4 linked regions of the Saccharomyces cerevisiae S288C genome follow. The protein of the gene in region 2 interacts with the protein of the main gene of each other region in a biochemical or structural test. Each region holds a gene or a part of one and is shown on either strand. Other genes may lie near its edges.

Region 1 (7,272 bases), on a different chromosome or scaffold from region 2:
CTATTTTTCTTGCGATTGAACTCTAACTTGACATCTCTAGGACCCTACAACGATAGCGACTTCTTACATTGTGTTCATTAATTTGAAAAAACATCAAAGCAAGCCGAAAACAAACGCTGAGTATTCTAACGAAGCACGCATAATAATCTTCACTTCCAACCGACTGGTATAAAAGATAATGAACTCATGGAACCTGAGTTCTTCAATACCGATAATACATACGCCTCATGACCATCCCCCGACATCAGAAGGAACTCCAGATCAACCAAATAATAACCGAAAAGATGATAAACTGCACAAAAAAAGAGGCGATTCAGATGAGGACTTAAGCCCTATATGGCATTGTGTCGTCTCCGGTGGGATTGGTGGAAAAATAGGAGATTCTGCGATGCATTCATTGGATACTGTTAAGACAAGACAACAGGGCGCACCCAATGTCAAAAAATACAGGAACATGATCTCTGCATATCGTACCATTTGGCTAGAAGAAGGCGTGAGAAGGGGGCTATACGGCGGTTACATGGCTGCCATGTTAGGCTCCTTCCCGTCAGCGGCAATCTTCTTTGGGACCTATGAATATACTAAGAGAACAATGATAGAAGATTGGCAGATTAACGATACCATCACACATTTGAGCGCTGGATTTCTTGGCGATTTTATCTCCAGTTTTGTTTATGTTCCATCAGAGGTCCTAAAGACAAGGCTACAATTGCAAGGAAGGTTCAATAATCCTTTCTTTCAATCTGGCTATAATTATTCGAATTTAAGAAATGCCATAAAGACAGTTATAAAAGAAGAAGGGTTTCGCTCACTATTTTTTGGATACAAAGCCACTTTAGCCAGAGATTTGCCATTTAGTGCATTGCAGTTTGCCTTCTACGAAAAGTTTAGGCAATTGGCTTTCAAGATTGAACAGAAAGATGGTAGGGATGGTGAGTTGTCTATACCTAATGAAATATTGACTGGTGCCTGTGCAGGTGGACTGGCGGGAATCATTACCACACCAATGGATGTTGTTAAGACTAGAGTCCAAACTCAACAGCCGCCCAGCCAAAGCAACAAATCATACTCAGTAACACATCCACATGTAACAAACGGCAGACCGGCAGCACTTTCCAACTCGATTTCGCTCAGCCTTCGGACGGTCTACCAATCTGAAGGTGTGTTAGGTTTCTTTAGTGGCGTTGGCCCTAGATTCGTCTGGACAAGTGTTCAGAGCAGTATAATGTTGCTTCTGTATCAAATGACCCTACGCGGATTAAGTAACGCATTTCCAACGGACTAAGAGCCTGATTTCTGGCTCATCTAACTCTCTAGAGGATAATTTTATGTGATAAAACTTTTCCTACAAGCGGCTACAATAAAGACAGTACAAGGGACCTCACCCTATTCGCCATCACTGCACATCACAGTGGGTCTTGTACTTATCATTTCACATACATAGATATAGGTTCTTCCGAATAAGTTTTGTATATAGTCATTTACGGCAAGAATACTCATCTAAGTTTAATACGCATTTCTCTCTTCGTTCGCAGTTCCTAACACTGAGCGTTCTTGTTTGGAGGGCTCGTTTAAAAAAAAGTCTAACAAATGTGACAGATTTGCTTGAACAGGGTCCAAACTCATCTTGTATATCATAACACTACATCACTGGGAGACAAAATCGAAGTGCCCACGTGCTGCTCATTCTCTAAACGGTCTGTCGCGGGCCCTTTTCGTCCTTCGGTTTCCCTCCCTTTAGACAATGGGCTCTCTTTTCTCTATTATCTATCTCTTTTTCTCGGCTTTTCCGGCCAGCGTTGAAAGCAGCGCACGGTGAGGGTAGAAGGAAGAGCAAGGACAAGTGAAGAGTAGGCCATCGTGGGGGCTTGTGTTTATAAAGAAAATACATTCAACAATTTAGTAAAACGTGTTCAAGAAGTGTTAATCAGACCAATTGGACACTACACCTTCGTAATCACAGTTTTACCTTCTAAGAAACATACAGGGAAGAAATTACTGAAGATAGACACATCGGTCGATTATGCAGTACGTAGGCAGAGCTCTTGGGTCTGTGTCTAAAACATGGTCTTCTATCAATCCGGCTACGCTATCAGGTGCTATAGATGTCATTGTAGTGGAGCATCCAGACGGAAGGCTATCATGTTCTCCCTTTCATGTGAGGTTCGGCAAATTTCAAATTCTAAAGCCATCTCAAAAGAAAGTCCAAGTGTTTATAAATGAGAAACTGAGTAATATGCCAATGAAACTGAGTGATTCTGGAGAAGCCTATTTCGTTTTCGAGATGGGTGACCAGGTCACTGATGTCCCTGACGAATTGCTTGTGTCGCCCGTGATGAGCGCCACATCAAGCCCCCCTCAATCACCTGAAACATCCATCTTAGAAGGAGGAACCGAGGGTGAAGGTGAAGGTGAAAATGAAAATAAGAAGAAGGAAAAGAAAGTGCTAGAGGAACCAGATTTTTTAGATATCAATGACACTGGAGATTCAGGCAGTAAAAATAGTGAAACTACAGGGTCGCTTTCTCCTACTGAATCCTCTACAACGACACCACCAGATTCAGTTGAAGAGAGGAAGCTTGTTGAGCAGCGTACAAAGAACTTTCAGCAAAAACTAAACAAAAAACTCACTGAAATCCATATACCCAGTAAACTTGATAACAATGGCGACTTACTACTAGACACTGAAGGTTACAAGCCAAACAAGAATATGATGCATGACACAGACATACAACTGAAGCAGTTGTTAAAGGACGAATTCGGTAATGATTCAGATATTTCCAGTTTTATCAAGGAGGACAAAAATGGCAACATCAAGATCGTAAATCCTTACGAGCACCTTACTGATTTATCTCCTCCAGGTACGCCTCCAACAATGGCCACAAGCGGATCAGTTTTAGGCTTAGATGCAATGGAATCAGGAAGTACTTTGAATTCGTTATCTTCTTCACCTTCTGGTTCCGATACTGAGGACGAAACATCATTTAGCAAAGAACAAAGCAGTAAAAGTGAAAAAACTAGCAAGAAAGGAACAGCAGGGAGCGGTGAGACCGAGAAAAGATACATACGAACGATAAGATTGACTAATGACCAGTTAAAGTGCCTAAATTTAACTTATGGTGAAAATGATCTGAAATTTTCCGTAGATCACGGAAAAGCTATTGTTACGTCAAAATTATTCGTTTGGAGGTGGGATGTTCCAATTGTTATCAGTGATATTGATGGCACCATCACAAAATCGGACGCTTTAGGCCATGTTCTGGCAATGATAGGAAAAGACTGGACGCACTTGGGTGTAGCCAAGTTATTTAGCGAGATCTCCAGGAATGGCTATAATATACTCTATCTAACTGCAAGAAGTGCTGGACAAGCTGATTCCACGAGGAGTTATTTGCGATCAATTGAACAGAATGGCAGCAAACTACCAAATGGGCCTGTGATTTTATCACCCGATAGAACGATGGCTGCGTTAAGGCGGGAAGTAATACTAAAAAAACCTGAAGTCTTTAAAATCGCGTGTCTAAACGACATAAGATCCTTGTATTTTGAAGACAGTGATAACGAAGTGGATACAGAGGAAAAATCAACACCATTTTTTGCCGGCTTTGGTAATAGGATTACTGATGCTTTATCTTACAGAACTGTGGGGATACCTAGTTCAAGAATTTTCACAATAAATACAGAGGGTGAGGTTCATATGGAATTATTGGAGTTAGCAGGTTACAGAAGCTCCTATATTCATATCAATGAGCTTGTCGATCATTTCTTTCCACCAGTCAGCCTTGATAGTGTCGATCTAAGAACTAATACTTCCATGGTTCCTGGCTCCCCCCCTAATAGAACGTTGGATAACTTTGACTCAGAAATTACTTCAGGTCGCAAAACGCTATTTAGAGGCAATCAGGAAGAGAAATTCACAGACGTAAATTTTTGGAGAGACCCGTTAGTCGACATCGACAACTTATCGGATATTAGCAATGATGATTCTGATAACATCGATGAAGATACTGACGTATCACAACAAAGCAACATTAGTAGAAATAGGGCAAATTCAGTCAAAACCGCCAAGGTCACTAAAGCCCCGCAAAGAAATGTGAGCGGCAGCACAAATAACAACGAAGTTTTAGCCGCTTCGTCTGATGTAGAAAATGCGTCTGACCTGGTGAGTTCCCATAGTAGCTCAGGATCCACGCCCAATAAATCTACAATGTCCAAAGGGGACATTGGAAAACAAATATATTTGGAGCTAGGTTCTCCACTTGCATCGCCAAAACTAAGATATTTAGACGATATGGATGATGAAGACTCCAATTACAATAGAACTAAATCAAGGAGAGCATCTTCTGCAGCCGCGACTAGTATCGATAAAGAGTTCAAAAAGCTCTCTGTGTCAAAGGCCGGCGCTCCAACAAGAATTGTTTCAAAGATCAACGTTTCAAATGACGTACATTCACTTGGGAATTCAGATACCGAATCACGAAGGGAGCAAAGTGTTAATGAAACAGGGCGCAATCAGCTACCCCACAACTCAATGGACGATAAAGATTTGGATTCAAGAGTAAGCGATGAATTCGATGACGATGAATTCGACGAAGATGAATTCGAAGATTAAAGATTCTTGTAGCCGAATATTATTTATAACGATCCATACTGCATATTAAGTAAAATTATGAAGTACTAAGTAACAATTTTTCAATTTTATTTAAGAAAAGAGAAGGAAAAAAAAAAGAAGAAAATTTTTTGATAGAAGAAAAAGGTAAACGATGATTGTTACGTACCAAGTGTTCTTCTGAGCTATTTGGTAATTACATACTTCTTCGAAATGTCAAGGTAAATACTTTTCTATACGCACACGAAACTCGCTTGCTGCAACAGGTATTACGTCAGGTGAAAAAAGCGGCCAAGAGGCAATGCCGAAATACAATGCGTGTATAACAGGAAGAGGAGGGGTATAATAAAATCACCATAGTAGAAAAGACCAGAAAGATTTCTATTGCAATCCTGTGTGACTCTTTTGGTTTTTCCCTTTGGTATCTCCCGGTTCTTTTGTCAATTTTTCGTTAAACTGCAGTGAAATAAGAAAAAGGTGCATGATAAAGATATGGATAACACGACCAATATTAATACAAATGAGCGCTCTAGTAACACGGATTTTAGCTCAGCTCCCAATATCAAAGGTTTGAATAGCCATACTCAGTTGCAGTTTGATGCGGATTCTCGAGTTTTCGTTTCGGATGTAATGGCTAAGAACTCTAAGCAATTATTGTACGCCCATATTTATAACTATTTAATCAAAAACAATTACTGGAACTCTGCCGCAAAATTTTTAAGCGAAGCTGACCTTCCTTTATCTAGAATAAACGGATCTGCTTCGGGTGGGAAAACTAGCTTGAACGCCAGCCTGAAGCAGGGATTAATGGATATTGCATCTAAGGGTGACATTGTTAGTGAAGATGGGCTATTACCTTCGAAAATGCTGATGGACGCTAATGACACGTTTTTACTGGAATGGTGGGAAATTTTTCAATCATTGTTCAATGGAGACCTAGAATCTGGGTACCAACAGGATCATAATCCTTTAAGAGAGAGAATAATACCAATTTTGCCAGCTAATTCTAAATCTAATATGCCTTCCCATTTCTCTAATCTCCCACCAAATGTGATTCCACCAACTCAAAATAGTTTTCCAGTTTCAGAGGAGAGTTTTAGGCCCAATGGTGACGGAAGTAACTTTAATTTAAACGATCCAACCAATCGAAACGTCTCCGAAAGATTTCTATCGAGAACTTCCGGTGTCTACGACAAACAGAATAGCGCTAATTTTGCACCTGATACTGCTATAAACAGTGATATTGCTGGGCAGCAGTACGCAACTATAAATCTACATAAACACTTCAATGATTTGCAATCACCAGCACAGCCCCAGCAATCATCTCAACAGCAGATCCAGCAGCCTCAGCATCAACCCCAGCATCAACCGCAACAGCAACAGCAACAGCAACAACAACAACAACAACAGCAACAGCAACAGCAACAGCAACAGCAGCAACAGCAACAGCAACAGCAACAACATCAACAGCAGCAACAGACACCGTATCCTATTGTCAACCCACAAATGGTCCCTCATATTCCATCGGAAAATTCTCATTCAACCGGACTTATGCCTTCAGTGCCTCCTACAAATCAACAATTTAATGCACAAACCCAATCTTCAATGTTTTCAGACCAGCAGCGCTTCTTTCAATATCAATTACACCACCAAAATCAAGGACAGGCGCCATCTTTTCAGCAAAGCCAATCTGGCAGGTTTGATGACATGAACGCTATGAAAATGTTTTTTCAGCAGCAAGCACTACAGCAAAATTCACTACAGCAAAATCTTGGAAATCAAAATTATCAATCTAATACACGTAACAATACTGCGGAAGAAACTACGCCCACAAATGACAATAACGCAAATGGCAATAGTTTATTGCAAGAACACATACGAGCCCGCTTCAATAAGATGAAAACAATTCCTCAACAAATGAAAAATCAAAGCACTGTCGCAAATCCGGTTGTTAGTGATATAACATCTCAACAGCAGTACATGCATATGATGATGCAAAGAATGGCGGCTAACCAGCAATTACAAAATAGTGCCTTTCCTCCAGACACTAATCGTATAGCGCCAGCTAACAACACTATGCCATTACAACCAGGAAATATGGGGTCTCCTGTCATTGAAAATCCAGGTATGAGGCAGACTAATCCATCCGGACAAAACCCTATGATCAATATGCAGCCCTTATATCAAAATGTTTCTTCCGCAATGCATGCGTTCGCTCCGCAACAACAATTTCATCTACCACAACATTATAAAACCAATACTTCAGTACCACAAAATGATTCTACCTCCGTCTTTCCTTTGCCTAACAATAACAATAACAATAACAACAACAACAATAATAATAATAATAATAATAGTAATAATAGTAATAATAATAATAATAATAATAATAATAATAATAATAGTAATAATACACCCACAGTATCACAACCATCATCAAAATGTACTTCTAGCTCCAGCACAACTCCTAATATAACTACAACAATTCAACCCAAGCGGAAACAGAGAGTGGGTAAAACAAAGACCAAGGAATCAAGAAAAGTTGCTGCAGCTCAGAAAGTTATGAAATCTAAGAAACTGGAACAAAATGGTGATTCAGCTGCTACAAACTTCATCAATGTCACTCCAAAGGACAGTGGCGGTAAGGGTACCGTAAAAGTTCA
Region 2 (6,033 bases):
TGCATCTTATCTTTTCTGCATGAAATCTATCGTACACTTCCCTTGCTAGCAGTCTTAACGGCCCTGCGTAGTACCCACGGTCCACGGATTTCAATTTCTGTAACGCTCTATAAGTTTTGCCTGAATTCGTGGGCCCAATGTGCATGATTATATGTCTTCTAATCTTTCTTGCCTCCGGAAACCACTCTGCTGGATTTGTTATGTCAACGTTGTGAGCGCCATCTGTATCATCTGTATTCGTCATCATGGGTAGTATCTCCTGCTCGTACACATGGTCGAAGGTCTGTTGCAGGACGTGGATAAATTTATCCAATGTAGTTATATTGTTACTCAGGCTATATTTGAGAACAGATTTCCAGACTAAATTGCTGATTTTATTGCAATTTATCAGCAACGAAATCAAATTGCCAGGAGATGAAGGATGTATGATCTCACTTACCGAAGGTACATAGGTTTTGGCTTGCAGTTTCGGATCTTTTAGTTGTTGATATATGTAATCTCTTAATTTCAACCAAGCAAGATTCTTTATTGGTACTTGCTTGGCATCCAAGGATGACAATTTATCGTTATAGATAAATTGCATCGCTTTATCAAGGTTATCTTTAAATGATGAATCCTGTAAATACACATTATTGCTTTCGGACTTGTTAAAATTAAACTGGAATATATCTAATTTTGAATGTTCATTTTTGGGTAAATTTAGGAATTTAGGTCTTTTCACAATCCAATCCTTATCATGAAATAGATCGATGCTATGCGGCTCGCTGTGGTAATATGCTTTCTTGATGGACACAAACAGTCGCAATGATCGGAGTGGAAAAAAAACTGTGCTGTATTTGACAAGTGCCATGCTAGTATACTCTATCGGCACTTAAATCTTCTTTCTTTTCATAGTTGAACCTCTTTCTTTGAAAGTATCAAGTTTCTGCATTTTGGCTTCTCATTGTCTATGCATCGGGCGAAGAAATTATTAACGCTGTTTACGATGGACCATCAATTTTTAAGTAAAAATGAAAAAATTAGATAAATTGTATAGTCTTATATGTACGTATGATATTCTAATTAGTCTATAAATGAACGCACATACAAATAATAGATGATACATCTATTTAATGGTTTCTTGGGTTTCTTTTCAATAAGGACATTGTGTTCTGAATCCACCCTTCAGCTCCACCGTCTTCCCAAATCATATCGTACACTGCTTGCGTTGGAAAATGCTTTAAGGTTGCATTTTCTACACCTATGATGGCTGCATTTCTTGTGCTTGGTATCCTTAACATCTCTTTCTCTACTTTCCAGCCTACACGAGATGAAATATATTCAACGTGATCAACCAAACCAGAGTAGGTGCTCTTACTGTTATTCTGGTTTTTGATTTCATTTGACCTAGGCGAACGTTTCCTTACGTTAAAACGAACTCTCTGGCCAGAAAAATTATGAGAGCAACAAGGTATAACCATATAAGGATGACCTAGTAATGGGATCCAGCAAGTCAACTCATCTGAGTGGTTACCTATAATAAAAGTATCTGGTGGGAACTCTGCTGTATTGACCTGCGGAGATTTTAGTAAGTCCTCACTTGAATACACGACGGTTGCGGGGGCAATCACTTCGTGCGTCACCTTGACTGGGAAAAATCTCCCATTGTGTTCCAAATGAGGTACTTGTCTTTTCAAAGCAGGATGGGGTCTTAAAAGGATAGAAGGTATTATAACTTGCTCCTTTAACGATGATTGCACTTCAGGCGGGTAGATAGACCACGATTTGCGCTTCCTTGCATCTATGCCGAGACCTTTAATACTTTCACTCAGTAAAATATAACAAAGAGCACCATTGCCGCATCCCAAATCTCTAAATTGCATTTTTGAACGGAAGTCTGGACCGTACACTTTAATCCATAATTCAATCAGGAAAGCGGCAATGGCTATGTCTTCAAAAACATGTTTTTTTGGGTCTGTAGACTCTGCCCAATTCTCCACCAGGAACTTGGAGTATTTTTTCTTCAAAACAATGTATGTGTTCTGAAAATTGACTTTATTTACCACTTGATCGTGATTGACCCTCTTTTCATAACCCTGCATCACACCCTTTGAGTGTTTGTTAGCAGTTTGTAATAACCTATAAGCGGTTCTTACAACACGCTCAGATTCATCTGTAAAGGCAGTTTTATCCTCGGGGAAGGGAATGTAGTGTACAGAAAGAACTGACTGGTGTAACAAAATGCCTACACTTTGCGTTCTTGGAATATAAAACGGACAGTCTTTCTCAGAGTTAATGTGCGGCGTATATACAATCAATGAGGTCTCCTGAAAATTAGGGTCTTTGCTATTTAGGATTAAACATGTTTGGTTTATGATAGCATCTTTGTAAAAATTCCTAGGAATGATCCTTCTTACAAATTCATGAACGGGTGACAATTTTAAACTCTCAGATGTTTCACACGACCTTATGTTTAAATCTTCAATATTTATCTTCTTGACATCTTCTTCACCGCTTTCATTACCATTATCGATCTCAAACTTTTTTAATACGGACTCGTCAAATTTTGGCTCAGACCCAGCTTCTGCAGCATGATTGATCTCTTTCAAAATATCCGCTCTTAATATGACAGTAGAGTTAATATTTGGTTCTCTAATAACGTTCATCATTGCTTGCTCGAAGTGGGACTTTGCGAATGTTACTTTCCCATCCGTTTGGTAAAGGCTTAACCATTGAGGTCCTAGAATACTTTTATCATTCACAATAAACTTGAAGCGATCTTTGTGTTGATTTTGATTGTTTTTAGAAATATGTGCACTACCGTCGCCAGTCATTGTTGAGAGAAAGGAGAAGTATCACAAGATAGCAATATAATCGGACCAAATGCGTTGTCTATCTTGCGTAATGGAAATCGCATTTTCTAAATGATATGGTTTATTTCAAAGAATAATGTCATCGGGTTTTCCAAAATGCAAAAAATGAAATTTTTAACAATGCAGAGCAAAAAAGTGAAGAATAAGTGCACTACTAAAACCAAAAAAACAGGAAGAAGGTGCAAAAACGCAAAAAGTAGTTACCATAGTCCGTCCAGACACGTTAAATGAATTGATAGACACGGAGGGATAGACAGGCCGGATGCGCTACTTCTATCTATCCTAGACCCTTTGCTTGTCCTCTGTGTGCAGTTCATTTTCCGTACAAATCACCATACACGTAGACTCGTAAGCCCGTAGCTTTCTAATTGAAAGATAACAAAGGGAATCCAGTTTTACCATATAGCGTATAATTGCAGATAAGGGATATATAGCGCGGCAAACTGGGCAAACTTGAGCAATACCAATGTCTTCTTCTTCACAGTATGTAGTTTTCTAGTCAAGTATCATTGGAAAGTAAAGAACTAGAAATGATGAATACTAACATATATACGAGAAAAAATCAACCTCGAGCTCTATGAACAGATTTAAGCAGTTAGAAAAGCTTGGCAATGGTACGTATGCCACAGTGTACAAGGGACTGAACAAAACCACAGGGGTATATGTTGCCCTGAAAGAGGTAAAACTGGATTCAGAGGAAGGTACACCCTCTACGGCCATCCGTGAGATCTCCCTAATGAAAGAATTGAAACATGAGAACATTGTTAGACTTTATGACGTTATTCACACAGAGAACAAGTTGACTTTGGTTTTTGAATTCATGGACAACGATTTAAAGAAATACATGGATTCCCGCACCGTGGGCAACACACCAAGAGGGCTAGAACTAAACTTGGTTAAATACTTCCAGTGGCAACTACTGCAAGGGCTGGCCTTTTGCCATGAAAACAAGATTCTCCACCGTGATTTAAAACCTCAAAACCTATTAATCAACAAGAGAGGCCAGTTGAAATTGGGTGATTTCGGTCTGGCCCGTGCTTTCGGTATTCCGGTCAACACATTTTCAAGCGAAGTCGTAACGTTGTGGTACCGTGCTCCTGATGTGCTAATGGGTTCTAGGACGTACTCCACATCCATTGATATATGGTCGTGTGGGTGCATTCTTGCGGAAATGATAACGGGTAAGCCTTTGTTTCCTGGCACCAACGACGAAGAACAACTGAAATTGATCTTCGACATCATGGGCACTCCTAATGAGTCCCTATGGCCCAGTGTAACAAAGTTACCCAAATACAACCCAAATATCCAGCAACGACCACCAAGAGACCTACGTCAAGTATTGCAACCACACACCAAAGAACCGCTAGACGGGAATCTCATGGATTTCTTACACGGACTCTTGCAACTTAATCCGGATATGAGGCTGAGCGCCAAGCAGGCTCTGCATCACCCTTGGTTTGCAGAGTACTACCACCACGCTTCATAACGCAGCCCGTCAGCGAAAAACCGTAGCCATGTATATATAATGATAATAATCATCTATAATACACTACTATTACTTTAGTCTCATCTTACGACAGCCTTTACGACGGCTTTTACCGCCTTAAAGGCGGACAGGCTTTGTCTTCCGGAACGGAAAAACATGAAAATTTTTTATTTTTTTTCATTCGTTTATACCGCGAGTGAAAAAAAAAAAAAAGGAAACTGGAAACCTCTCGAATAACGATCGGTGAATGCTTCCCAAGCTGTTTTCGGTCTTCGTGTTGTGTCAAGTGAGAGAGCAGAACGTAAACGCAAACACAACGTCGGTTCTTTCCGTTGGCGTTCGTTGTTTGTTTATTCTCGTTTCTTTGAACCTGTTTGTTTATTTATTTTTAAACAGTCAATTAGTGAGAGTAACACACTTCTAATCTTGGCCTTCTTATTCGTAGCCACCCAGCTATTTTTGGTCTTGATCAGAACAAAGCAAGCAAAACCAAGAACAAACAGAAAGGGGAGAAATAGTTATCGGTTCGTTCCCTGGTTTTACTTCCTTTTTTTTTTCTTTCATTTTATAACACACAACTCCAGCAGTCTGACGCTCACCAATAAGATCAATTTCGTTTAATTGCTTTGCTCGCCCTCACACACGTTATAGTTATGTCGTCTTCCTCACTTCGAGTTTTAGCTATTGGGAACAACCCGAATATCTTGTTCTACACCTCAAGGTTTCAACTGGCCAAGAATATAGACCTCTACCACGTCAACGATTCAAAATCATGTCAATTTGAAATTGAAACTGAATACTACGGCAAAGACCGGTTCGAATTGGAAAATCATTTCACCTCTATCGAGCACTTGACTGAAGCTTTGAGCTCCAAATCAAGTGAAGCCGTCTTCGACATAATCATCATGAGTGCTCCATCTTTACAGGAATTATCCTCGTTAGCGTCCAAGTTAACGTCCATAATCGATTCGAACACCAAAATTTTCTTAGAAAGCAGTGGTTTCATCCAATTGGAACCGTTTGTCAAATTATCGATGGAATCTCCGCATGTAAACGTTTTCAGTATTTTGACTGATTTGGATATTCGTCAAATCGGTCCAAACCATTTCAAACACTTTCCTAGTACTGCAAAGGAGAACACGATTTACCTCGGCGAAAGTAAGTCCAGCACTGAGAAATATTCATCAGGCGTTATAACATTATTAACCACTTTTGAAAAACTGTTTGCTAAATTGTTTTCCAACATAAAAATCAATTTGTGCAATTTCTCATCAATTGAGTTTCTATCACAACAATGGAAGCTGGCGATTTCCAGAATTTGTTTTGATCCGTTGTTAATCATGTTTGAACAAGAAAACCCAAGTGATCTAGACCAGCAGATCATTGCCAAACCTTTAATATCAGGTCTGGTAACTGAAATCATCACTGTAGCAAAAACAATGGGAGCCAGACTAAACAGTAGTCATGATAATGAAAACTCTCTTTTATCTCTATGGAAGAATTCTTATCATTCAACCAATAAGCCACCTGCATTGGTTTATCATTTCATTCATCAAACAACGCCTTTGAACATCGATATCCTGTTGTTACAAACTATTTTATTAGCCGATGACTTTGGTATCAAAACTCCGTACTTAGAATTTTTATACTCTGTTTTGTCCCAATTTGAAAGATTGAATAGTGGCAAATCTAAAT
Region 3 (5,887 bases), on a different chromosome or scaffold from region 2:
ACTGAAATATGTGAAGGAATCTGAAAAGATGCTGAACGACCGATTATCACTGAGTAAACAGATTCTTGACCTGAACAAGTCGCTGGAGGAGTTGAATGTGTCGAAGAAACTGGTACTGATCTCGGAGCAAGTAGACTCGGGCATACAACTAGTGGAGAAGGACCAGGAGGGCGATGACGAAGACGGCAATACGGCCACAGGACATGGCGTGAAACGTGTAGGCAAGGAAGGCGAGGAAGTAGGCGAAGGCGACTCCATTGCAAAATTGCAGCCCCAGGTGTACAAACCGTGGTCATTGTAAAAAAATATATAAGAAAAAAAAAAAAAAAAAAAAAGAGAGCCTACAAAGTGTACTATTGTCATATTTTATATTTCTAATACAACGTATATAAAACTAGAGAGAAGAAATTTTATAAGTGAAAGTGAATGTGGATGCGTGCGCGTGTGCGTGTGCGTGTGCGTATGCGGATATGCTATTATTCCTCGCGGATGTAGAAGGGGTTGTGGTTGTCGTTTGCATTGGACGTCTCGTGGGCGGTATTGCTGTCGGTGGACAGATGCAAGGAATTGAGGACTCTGGTGTGCGCTACCGAGGCTGCTTTGTCGTTGTAAGATGACATGTCGTCATCTTCATCGATATCGTTATCGTTATCGTTATTGTTGTCTTCGATATTCTGCGATGTGTCCTGAAAGTCTGTATTGGAGTGCAGCGATCCGCCATTTTTTCCTTGGAAGTATTTTGTCTTCTCGATATTCAGCTGCTGCTTGAGTTTCTGCTCGTTCAGGTCATCGATCAGAGAGGTTACGTCGTCGTGACTGAGCTGCAAGGTGGTAGGGGCCCTTCTGATCATCAAGTGCGATGTTATTGTTGCTGTTTTTTTTTTCTCTTCAGACCGCTAATATCATATATACGTACATCCTAGATCCATCCATTATTCCTCTACTTTTGTGCAATGTGAAAGGACAAAGAGACAGGAAAAAGAAAAAATTATGGTGCGGCCTAAACATCGGATGTGGTGCATCTTTTAGTGCCGAGTAGCCAGAGATTAAAATGCCTTGTTGGCGCAATCGGTAGCGCGTATGACTCTTAATCATAAGGTTAGGGGTTCGAGCCCCCTACAGGGCTTATCTCTTTTTTTCTCTAACAAAAAAAAAATTCGTGTTTCTATTTTGCATATTTTCCTATATTTTCCTATATTTTTTTCTCGGCTCTTATACAGCAAAACTAGGTTCATATAAAAAAGATACGGTTATATGCATTATTTAGATCGGAAAAAGTCTCTGTCTAATGCGGTCACCTAGGGTTCGTCCTTTCAAGCGTATGTAAGACAACCATTCCTTCACACCCATGAGCGCGAGTGACAAAACAAAGCTCTGCAATAAGGGCATGAGCAGGACATCGCGAACCACAACTTTCGTAATCACACCCGCCTTCCGTGAGAGAGACGATGAGGGTGCCAATTCCCTGTGTAAAGCTTTCTTGAACACTTTCTCGAACCTCAAATCAGGTATGTTCAAATGTTTGTTGGGAGTTGGCGCCGTAGGTACGTTCATTTCTACGTTCCCACAGTTTTTCTTGCTGCCTTGCCTTCTTTGCGTACGGTGTGTATGTGTATGTCTGTGTGCAAGTATTTCCTATGCTGCAAGTGCGATTTTCTCGTTTTCTATTTTTTTTTTTTTTTGCCTCGCCTAATATGTGGTAGGCGAAAGGCTGACCCGGCCGCTCGCACGGAAATATTTGGCAAATGAGTCTTGACCATAGAAAAATGTATATAACCAGGGAAGAAGTCATGCTTCGGAAGGACCAGAAGAGAAGAGATGAGCAAAGGAGACAGAACAAGAGTAGCAGAAAGTCATGGGCCGTACAACTTCTGAGGGAATACACGGTTTTGTGGACGATCTAGAGCCCAAGAGCAGCATTCTTGATAAAGTCGGAGACTTTATCACCGTAAACACGAAACGGCATGATGGGCGCGAGGACTTCAACGAGCAAAACGACGAGCTGAACAGTCAAGAGAACCACAACAGCAGTGAGAATGGGAACGAGAATGAAAATGAACAAGACAGTCTCGCGTTGGACGACCTAGACCGCGCCTTTGAGCTGGTGGAAGGTATGGATATGGACTGGATGATGCCCTCGCATGCGCACCACTCCCCAGCTACAACTGCTACAATCAAGCCGCGGCTATTATATTCGCCGCTAATACACACGCAAAGTGCGGTTCCCGTAACCATTTCGCCGAACTTGGTCGCTACTGCTACTTCCACCACATCCGCTAACAAAGTCACTAAAAACAAGAGTAATAGTAGTCCGTATTTGAACAAGCGCAGAGGTAAACCCGGGCCGGATTCGGCCACTTCGCTGTTCGAATTGCCCGACAGCGTTATCCCAACTCCGAAACCGAAACCGAAACCAAAGCAATATCCGAAAGTTATTCTGCCGTCGAACAGCACAAGACGCGTATCACCGGTCACGGCCAAGACCAGCAGCAGCGCAGAAGGCGTGGTCGTAGCAAGTGAGTCTCCTGTAATCGCGCCGCACGGATCGAGCCATTCGCGGTCGCTGAGTAAGCGACGGTCATCGGGCGCGCTCGTGGACGATGACAAGCGCGAATCACACAAGCATGCAGAGCAAGCACGGCGTAATCGATTAGCGGTCGCGCTGCACGAACTGGCGTCTTTAATCCCCGCGGAGTGGAAACAGCAAAATGTGTCGGCCGCGCCGTCCAAAGCGACCACCGTGGAGGCGGCCTGCCGGTACATCCGTCACCTACAGCAGAACGTGAGCACGTGACCGTGCACCAATGGGAAGCACGTTCCGGGCATATCGGACTGGGGCGCGCCTCCCCTGCGCGGTGCTTGTTATAAGAGGCGCTTTGCTGGAAAGTGGCCCACACCGGGTTTTCGAGATTAGGACCTACTCAGTCTTAAGGGCAGTATTGGTTGGCGCTTATTTGCACATATTGTATACACGCACTCACATTAACAGAAGCACACATATACACTTACACCTACACACACGGATAAAGAAAAAGAAATAGAAAATGGGCATGTTGGAACTAGTTGGTGAGTACTGGGAACAACTAAAGATAACCGTTGTGCCTGTTGTGGCCGCGGCCGAAGATGACGATAACGAGCAGCATGAAGAAAAGGCAGCAGAAGGAGAAGAAAAAGAAGAAGAAAATGGGGATGAAGATGAGGATGAAGACGAAGACGAAGATGATGATGATGATGACGACGAAGATGAGGAAGAAGAGGAAGAAGTCACTGATCAGTTGGAAGATTTGAGAGAACATTTCAAGAACACGGAGGAGGGTAAGGCCCTTGTGCACCACTACGAGGAGTGTGCTGAGAGAGTCAAGATACAGCAACAACAACCCGGCTACGCGGATCTTGAACACAAGGAGGACTGTGTGGAGGAGTTTTTCCATCTACAGCACTATTTGGACACTGCCACGGCACCTAGATTATTTGACAAATTAAAGTAGTCTGTTTATCCGTCATATTCCCTATATTCATATTTATTCTGAGTCTTGTTACAATTTCTTCAAGAAACCGATCCTTATTTAACCTACTGTATTTAGAAAGTAAATAAATAAACTAAAATCAAAGCAAAAATAATTTTATACACTATTCTTATTTTTATTTTTTAATTTTTAATTTTTTTTATAAGGGAGCACAAGTATACAGACGGAAAAGGGATTAGGCTTTTTTTATGCGCTCTGTCTAGTACTGTTTTCTTTTACATCCGTACATACTCTTAGACCCATACAGCGCATGTATTCTTGTTTTCGACTTTTTTTTGGTTTTTTTTTTTTAGTTCTGTAAGGACAAAGAAAAATGGTCGCTAGCCGCGCTCGGGAAAACCAGCGATATTCTCAATGTAGGAAGTCTACCATTTTCCCTTTAGGCTTTGCCATAATCTCTGGATACATACAATTTCAGAATATTTCAATACTGCATATTTCAAGATTCAACCCATTATTTTATAACATTTTTCATTCAATATTCAAGAACCCCGGAACAACAATACAGTTAGAAAGTACGTTATATTATCATGAAGTCCCCATTTCGCCCATTGGAAATGCAGGTAGCCAAATCTGAGGTGCGCTGAGTGGCATATAGTGGAGGATATAAAGAAAAAAAGAGAGAAGGGAAAATAATGGAAAGTTACCAGTGTTTGAACTTATAGCGAACGCTCTTTCTCGAACGTTCAATTACCTTTAGCATACCCTTGTTCGAAGTTGCCCCCGCTAGCACCACTTCAGATTGGCAGTTAGCTGCCACGCTACTCCCCTCCACCGTTATGAATCATTTTTACTAACCTTTAATGACCATTCGCAATTTCTGCGTACATTCATCGTCTTCTCCAGAAAATGGCTAAGTCTAAGAACCATACCGCTCACAACCAAACCAGAAAGGCTCACAGAAACGGTATCAAGAAGCCAAAGACCTACAAGTACCCTTCTTTGAAAGGTGTTGATCCAAAGTTTAGAAGAAACCACAAGCATGCCCTACACGGCACTGCTAAGGCTTTGGCTGCTGCCAAGAAATAAACTTTTTAAGATTATAATACGTTAAAAATTTACATATTATTTTGTCTGATTTTATATAACATGTTTTATTATCTTAATTGAAGGAAAATTTATCTCAATATCCAGTACCGTTTTCTTTTTTTATTTCTTTTTTTTTTTCTTTTAATTTTCTTTTTCCTCCTTATGTGCCACAAAATGGAAGCGTCACAAATTAATAACAAAAGATAAATGATGTATAAAACAATGGTGTTGACCTTCTACTGAGTAGCAACACATAGAGAAGTATAAGGCCTCACATAAGCATACAAACAAGCCCGCAATGACAGAACAAGTTAACAATGACACTACCAGTGACACTACCACTACCATTACCACAGTTTACATTTCGAACCTGCCATTCACGGCGAGTGAGCGAGACCTACATGCCTTCCTAAACAACTATGGCGCCAGTTCAGTGTTGATTCCAACGCAGACCGTCCGCAGATTCAGCAAAAGGCACAATAGCAACCCTCGCAAACCACTAGGCATAGCATTTGCCCAGTTCGCAAACAATACTCTGGCTTTGAAGGCCATTCAAGACTTGAACGGAACCGTTTTCCAAAATCAGAAACTATTTCTAAAGTTACACGTTCCTTACGAGGCAGACTCTACTCCAGACACGGATGTAAAGAAGCCCAAAGAAAAAAATAAGGTTAAGAAGACACCAGAGACTGCCGCGGATACGGTTTACTGTCACGACCTGCCAGACGATATAACCGACAGTGAGATCCGTGAGTTGTTCCAGCTCTACTCGCCTCAAGAAATCTGGATTTACAGGTCCAAGGTGTACAGGAGAAAGTGTATTCCTTTTGCTCCACACCAAATTACTGCCGCTTTGGTCACTTTGCAATCTGAAACCCCAATTGGGGACATTTGTGACAGTGTGGCCAAGACAGCTACTTTGAGGGGCAAATCGATAATAGTGAAGCCCGCTTACGTCTCTAAGATTCAAGAAATTAAACAATTGGTCAAGGACAACTTAACCAATGCGCGCGACCCACCTCCAGCAGCATTGGCAGAGCCAGCGCCAGCGCCAGCGCCAGTAGAGCCAGCGGAGCAAGTGCAGGAAGGGCAAGACAATGCGGAAACCAATGATGTCCCACCTCCGCCTGCTTCGTCTTCCGATCGTCCAACCGTGGCTGCTACTTAGATCTTTATAAAATTGAAAAGGGGGTATAAACAGTGAGAACTTAACATAAAATACATATATTCGTTTATTGCTAAGTAAACTAAAATTGATCTATTATTTTTCTTTTCTTTTCTTTTGCGGCTGGGGGAACCCCTTTTAAGACAAAATAAGACTTTTTTCACCC
Region 4 (5,571 bases), on a different chromosome or scaffold from region 2:
TCGGTTCTTAGCAAAAACGTTATTACGTCTTGTGAGTCATTTTTGACCAATGCGCCTATCACACCTAATGAAGTCAATCTCAAGTACTCAAAAGTTCTTTGCCTGGAGGTAGTATTTAGGAAGGGGAAAAGAAAGAGAGGAATATGGGCCTGTAAAAAGAGATGTTTTGTCTCTGGGTGAGATGCAACACACTGTAGAAGAACTAGAGCGTTGCATACACGATTTGATAGATTGTTAGAGAGCATCTGAGGTTGCAGCATGGGATATACGGAAATGATTTCGTTCAGCAATGAGGTCATTACACCAAAGGAAGACCAAAGCACAACGGCAAGGTCATCAAACTGTTCTCTTTTGCGACCTAATTCAAGCAGTGCTTGTTCCTTTTGAGGGCCGTAGGTCAATTGACAAATCCAGTGGTATACATTGGGATCATCTAGAGCATGCACTGCGCCTCTATTATTGACCATGTTGGGATTGTTTCGAGTTGCGTTAGCATCGTTACCGCCGTTATTGCCGTTATTGCCGTTGTTCTCGCCATTTTCATTGCTATTATTATTATTCGGAGTATTGCCCATTAGCATGGGGCCTCCACTTGGAATTTGTTGATTCATGCCTGGACCCATTGAAGTTGGAACCCCAGGCATGGACATAGATCCTGGATTATTAGTTGAAGGACCACCACCACCCATGTTCACGCCTGCTCCATTGCCATATATTGGCTTTTGAGCGGAAAACATATTAACTTATTCAGAGGATGTTCAGTTGCTGTCGTTGTTGCTTCAGGAACAAAGTTTAATCTCGTCAAGATCAGCAGAAACACACACACTCGCAAATTTGTCAAAACTTGGGAGTTTTAAAAGATGAACGGTTTCTAACTTGCGTACTCTACGTCTTTGCAATCCCTTTACAATGTCTTCTATGCGTAAATTACTTTAAATTTGGATTTTGCCTCTTGCTGCTCGCAGCAAAATTCTCAGCATGTTGAGGTGTGTGGGTGGAGTTTTTCCTCTCCTGCTAGTAATACTTATGCAAGAATCTACGTCTAATGAGGTGCTCACGTTTTGCAATGATGATATAAATAGGGACAGTAATCTAATATAGACAAGTGGGCGTAATAGGGTTTTCTTCTCTCTCTTATGCATTCTGTAAGCATCTCGCTTTATGTGAGGAATAGTAGTAAAAGCGTATGATACAGGGAAATAGTAGTACTTTTACAATAGTATTGCTACTTGCATTCCCAAAAACATTCAATAAATGCACTTGGTTTCGAGCGTCTTTTGTTTATTTTTAAGTTTTGTTTGTTTTTTTTATTGTTTTGCTTCGTAGTTTCAATTTTAAACATTAATGTGTGCAAAAACTATAAGACAATGGTATACGCAAGAAAAACTATAAGTAGCATATTTAGTCTACTCCGAGCCATATCGGAAAGAACAATGTCGCGTCTTGCAAAGGCTGTTAATACATAGAATAGGCCACTCCAGGCATGTAAATACATGATTGATTGGATGAGCAACACTGAAATGGACCAGTGGCAACCTAACAGGATTTCTGATCTATTTCACGCCCAGAAAAAAGGCGTACATTCTATAATCTACTTAACAGACCTATACAAGCACTGTCCTACATATTTCAAAAGATTTAATTTACATATCGATTCCGTTCAACGTAAACAGTTTGCTCATAATACAGTCACAGATGTGAGAGAAAAAAAAAAAAGAAAATAAAGGAAAATGGATCAGAAATTTGGGTATACTTAATGCTTCATAGGACACCTGAGTACTTGTGGCATCCATGTTCAGACTGGTGCACAGCTTTTTTCTCGTCATTTACCATTTTTCCTTGAATTCATGTTTAATTTTCATCTTCGTCATGTGTTAAGGTACTATTACGAAACAAAATGTTAACGCCTTTGATAAACTTATCAAAGTTACGAGACCGGTTCGCACTACGATACTTTGCTATTGCTTCATTTTTTCTATCATATGTAAAACATAAACCACTGAGAGAAAACTTCTGCATTTAAATCAAATATGTCCGCCTTTTATACTTTAAGAAGAAAAAATTTATCTTTTTTCTTCCTCATATTGCAGGTATCACCCGAATGGAAGTTATAACGGCACAATCACTTAGGGCTTAACATACAATAACAAATACCATTTTTAATGTTGTGTTCAGTTGATTGTTATTATTATTAGGTATCCTTGATTATTTAAATTTATAATATATTATGTATCCGTTAATTATGCTCTATTAAAAATCTTTCTCCCACTAAGAGCCCCGTAAGGGCCATCTTGTTTACCACATTAAAACCCATGTTGACTCATGATCTGTTCCAGATCCCAACTTTGCCTGTTGACATTGTCGTTCCATTTCTCTACCGTCCTGACGTAATTCGTGTTAGCGACTGTGTTGTTCGCTATGTTGGTTACATCTTTTAGCCTTCTTAGATCATTACAACTGTCGACTAGAGTAGCAGAACTTAAATCGGATGCTATCGACACGTTTCTCTGTTTTTCGTAGAGTTTGAATCTGTTGTTTGATCTGATAGGACTCGTGCCAGCACAAGTCCTTCTGTTCATGGACATCATCATGTTAATTCTCTTCCTTTGGTCGCTGGATCTTGCCAAGTCTTGCTTGATGGGCTCTAATAGAGGCTGCAGATCTAGGATCAAATCTTCTGTGTTCACCCTGAGGTCCCAGTTCAACAGCTGTAACAACTGCCTTTCCATAAGGTTGATATCCTCTAGTGTAAAGAGACCATCGGTGTACCTAGCCCAGTGCTTGTTTAAAGGAGAAGAGTCATTGTGAAACTTAGCACTCAGTATCAAACAGGCCAAGAAAATGCGATGGATGGTCGAGGGGAGACCAGTAGCGTCCCTGGGCAGAATACGCTTTAATTTGTTCAAATAGCACGCAGCGGTGAGCAGAGTGGGTGTGTAGACGTTGGTGTATCTGACCAATCTAGTGATAAAAGTCATTAGCGATGGCAGCCTTGTGAGGTGTTTCTCTCCTGGAGAACCGGGAGGCGTGGGGTAGTTGCTTGAAGGAACAACCCTCAATGTTGTGTCTGTTAAGAATTTTATTATGTCATCCGTTACTGGCGACTTGAGCAGAATATGAAGAGCCTTGCTGTATTCACACATTTTATTACTTTACTGTTATTTGTATAATTGATTGTTTTTGTTATCGTTTTTGTTCTTGACAATGGATGATTGCTGATGTACGCAATAGTAATTCCAAGACACAAGAGTTAAGGACAAGCTTATCAATCCCATTACCATGTAGGCCTATTGACCTTATATATGTTTTCCTATCGCTATATGGAAGCTACCATTCCTTTTATTCTCCATAATAACGCCAAAATCTGCCCACAGCCTTGTAGCCTCATTTGGCTCCCGACATTTCGAGTCGCTTTTGCGTCGCATGCCTCCGCGAAAAATTTCGCGCCGGACGCGATTTTTAACACGAAATTCTTGTTCGTGCCGCTGTTGCCCTTTTGGGAAATATTTCCCGATCTGGCATTCGCAGAACACTAGAGCCAGAGTTCTGCCATTCTTTACGTCCAAGAGGTTAAAGTACAGATCACGTAACGGAATGCTACTTTCTGTAACAATTTGGCGATTCGCATTCTCAGTTGTTAGCTAGACGCCAATTGATTTACGGTTTCCGGTATGCAAATTGAAAATGCTTTCATCTATTTCTTTTATTTTTTTTATTTCGTTCTGGGCGTTGTGTTATGTTGTTATATTGCACAATGCAGTTGTTCTGTACATATTGTATCTATACATATTTGCGTCGATTATACGTTGGCTTTAACAGTTTCGTTCTCGAAGCTGGCCTTGATGGCGCCAATGACCGCGCTGCCCTGAATCTGGTCGTTGCCACCCTTGGATATCGAGTACTCTATATCGGCCAGTTTGGTAAGCAAATGCACTCTTGTTTCCTCATTTTGAAGTTCGTAGTCTTCCAGTATCTTCACTATGCCCTCGATTAGGTCGATCAACGCGAGACCCTTGGCACTGCGTACCTTATTAAGTGTGTAGTGGGCGGTACCCCAATCGTCCTCCAGTATCGACTTCAATACTGCCTTTAAGTCACTTGGTCTGGGTGCCCCACAGCATTCATAGATAACGTCGTCACTGATCTCATCCTCGTCGGGATTGTCTAAAGTAGCTTTGCAAGACTGCAAAACGTTTAACACACGTCTCATATCCCCATTAGAAAGTTCTATTAAGGCCTTCTCCGCATTAGGAGACAACTTCAGCTTCTCATGCACCAAGACGTTGGCTATCCGACGCTCAATGGCCTCTTGGGGCAAGGGCTGAAATCTGAATCTCGTGCACCTACTCAATAACGCAGGTGTAAGTTTATGCGCATAATTGGCCAATACACAGAACCGCGTATTCTTGGTGTACCGTTCTATAACTCTTCTCAACGCATTTTGTGCGGCATTGGTCATGGCATCTGCTTCATCCAGTATAATTAACTTGAACCCTTTAGAGAAGATTTGTCTTGTAGAGGCAAAGTCTTTAATTTGATTCCTCACCACATCAATACCTCTGTCATCGGATGCATTCAGCTCCAAAACCATGTTCGAGTAATTCTTACCATATATCTCACGTGCCAAAGCAACAATTGTAGAAGTTTTACCGGTACCTGGAGGCCCATAGAATAGAAGATGTGGCAATTTACCTTCATCTACAAATTTACGAACTGTGGTGATCACCTCATTTTGTCCGTACACTTCGTCCAACGTTTCGGGTCTGTATTTTTCAACCCATGGAAGGTTTTCTTTGCTCCTCTTCTCTGTACTTGTCGACATTCTTGTATGTCGGGCCTGTTCCTACACCTTTTATAAAATTATTCAAGCTTTGAAAAGATATTTATCCTGTGCTCTTTATAGCTTCTTTCCATTTCTTTCAAAATCGCGTACTGACCAAAAAAAAAAAAGATCAAAATTGAGAAGCCATACATAATATAATAATGATATAGTTTCGCTGCCATCGGACCGCAATAGTAACTCTACAAGTAAACGTGTTGTTTTCTCAAGAACAGGTTACTGAAACTGAGCCATTGGTTGCGGAAAATTTCCCTAATAATTTCGACCGGCTGACGTACCGTTTTGGCTATTTCTCAAATACTTGACTGGCTTAACTGCCATACTGAATTGCAGTAAAACCCGTAACACTACAATTTCTGTCCAGCGGCAGTATTATTTCTAAGGATGATAGTGTGGCAAGCACTATTCGTGGTTTACTGCCTATTTACCACTTCTATTCACGGTTTATTCCAAGACTTCAATCCTTTCGCAAATAAGAATATTTCCTTAAAGTTTCCCAGCCTAAATAGATGGGAGAAAAACGTTATGGCTACTGGTCAACAAACAATCATCAATTCGGATAGCATTTATGAATGGACCCCGATCTTATCTAACATAACAGCGGGCAAAAAAGACAGTTTTGTATTTACCATTGACGCAGAAGCCTCCGGTTATGGGTTTGCTCCCACGTATGAAGTGTTAATGTTTATTAGCGGCAATATATGCCAAATGCCCATGAATAGATCAGATGT

What was found.
Region 1: of the proteins of PHO85 (region 2) and PAH1, one has a biochemical effect on the other in vitro, tested with the Saccharomyces cerevisiae proteins (9 studies listed by BioGRID).
Region 3: of the proteins of PHO85 (region 2) and PHO4, one has a biochemical effect on the other in vitro, tested with the Saccharomyces cerevisiae proteins (14 studies listed by BioGRID, with this or other methods).
Region 4: the proteins of PHO85 (region 2) and PCL1 form a complex in vitro, tested with the Saccharomyces cerevisiae proteins (4 studies listed by BioGRID, with this or other methods).

Annotation. Positions count from the first base shown.
Region 1 is NC_001145.3:587,380-594,651, reverse strand, and holds PAH1 (phosphatidate phosphatase PAH1), read left to right. Parts: upstream 1-2,023; coding exon 2,024-4,612; downstream 4,613-7,272. Other genes in the region: MME1 (Mme1p), read left to right, coding at 179-1,285; MSS11 (Mss11p), read left to right, coding at 5,102-7,272. UniProt on the Saccharomyces cerevisiae protein: Mg(2+)-dependent phosphatidate (PA) phosphatase which catalyzes the dephosphorylation of PA to yield diacylglycerol. Required for de novo lipid synthesis and formation of lipid droplets.
Region 2 is NC_001148.4:490,323-496,355, reverse strand, and holds PHO85 (cyclin-dependent serine/threonine-protein kinase PHO85), read left to right. Parts: upstream 1-3,318; coding exon 3,319-3,335; intron 3,336-3,437; coding exon 3,438-4,338; downstream 4,339-6,033. Other genes in the region: ATP-dependent RNA helicase SUV3, read right to left, coding at 1-850; TRM44 (tRNA (uracil) methyltransferase), read right to left, coding at 1,110-2,813; SVL3 (Svl3p), read left to right, coding at 4,992-6,033.
Region 3 is NC_001138.5:221,927-227,813, reverse strand, and holds PHO4 (phosphate-sensing transcription factor PHO4), read left to right. Parts: upstream 1-1,855; coding exon 1,856-2,794; downstream 2,795-5,887. Other genes in the region: RSC8 (Rsc8p), read left to right, coding at 1-301; anaphase promoting complex subunit CDC26, read right to left, coding at 477-851; YFR035W-A (uncharacterized protein), read right to left, coding at 1,264-1,554; YFR035C (uncharacterized protein), read left to right, coding at 1,349-1,693; QCR6 (ubiquinol--cytochrome-c reductase subunit 6), read left to right, coding at 3,045-3,488; MIN10 (Min10p), read left to right, coding at 3,841-4,104; 60S ribosomal protein eL29 RPL29, read left to right, coding at 4,377-4,556; RRT5 (Rrt5p), read left to right, coding at 4,855-5,724. UniProt on the Saccharomyces cerevisiae protein: Transcriptional activator that regulates the expression of repressible phosphatase under phosphate starvation conditions. Binds to the upstream activating sequence (UAS) of several phosphatase encoding PHO genes.
Region 4 is NC_001146.8:85,469-91,039, reverse strand, and holds PCL1 (Pcl1p), read right to left. Parts: upstream 3,144-5,571; coding exon 2,304-3,143; downstream 1-2,303. Other genes in the region: CCR4-NOT core subunit CAF40, read right to left, coding at 1-737; RFC3 (replication factor C subunit 3), read right to left, coding at 3,800-4,822; MID1 (Mid1p), read left to right, coding at 5,225-5,571. UniProt on the Saccharomyces cerevisiae protein: G1/S-specific cyclin partner of the cyclin-dependent kinase (CDK) PHO85. Essential for the control of the cell cycle at the G1/S (start) transition.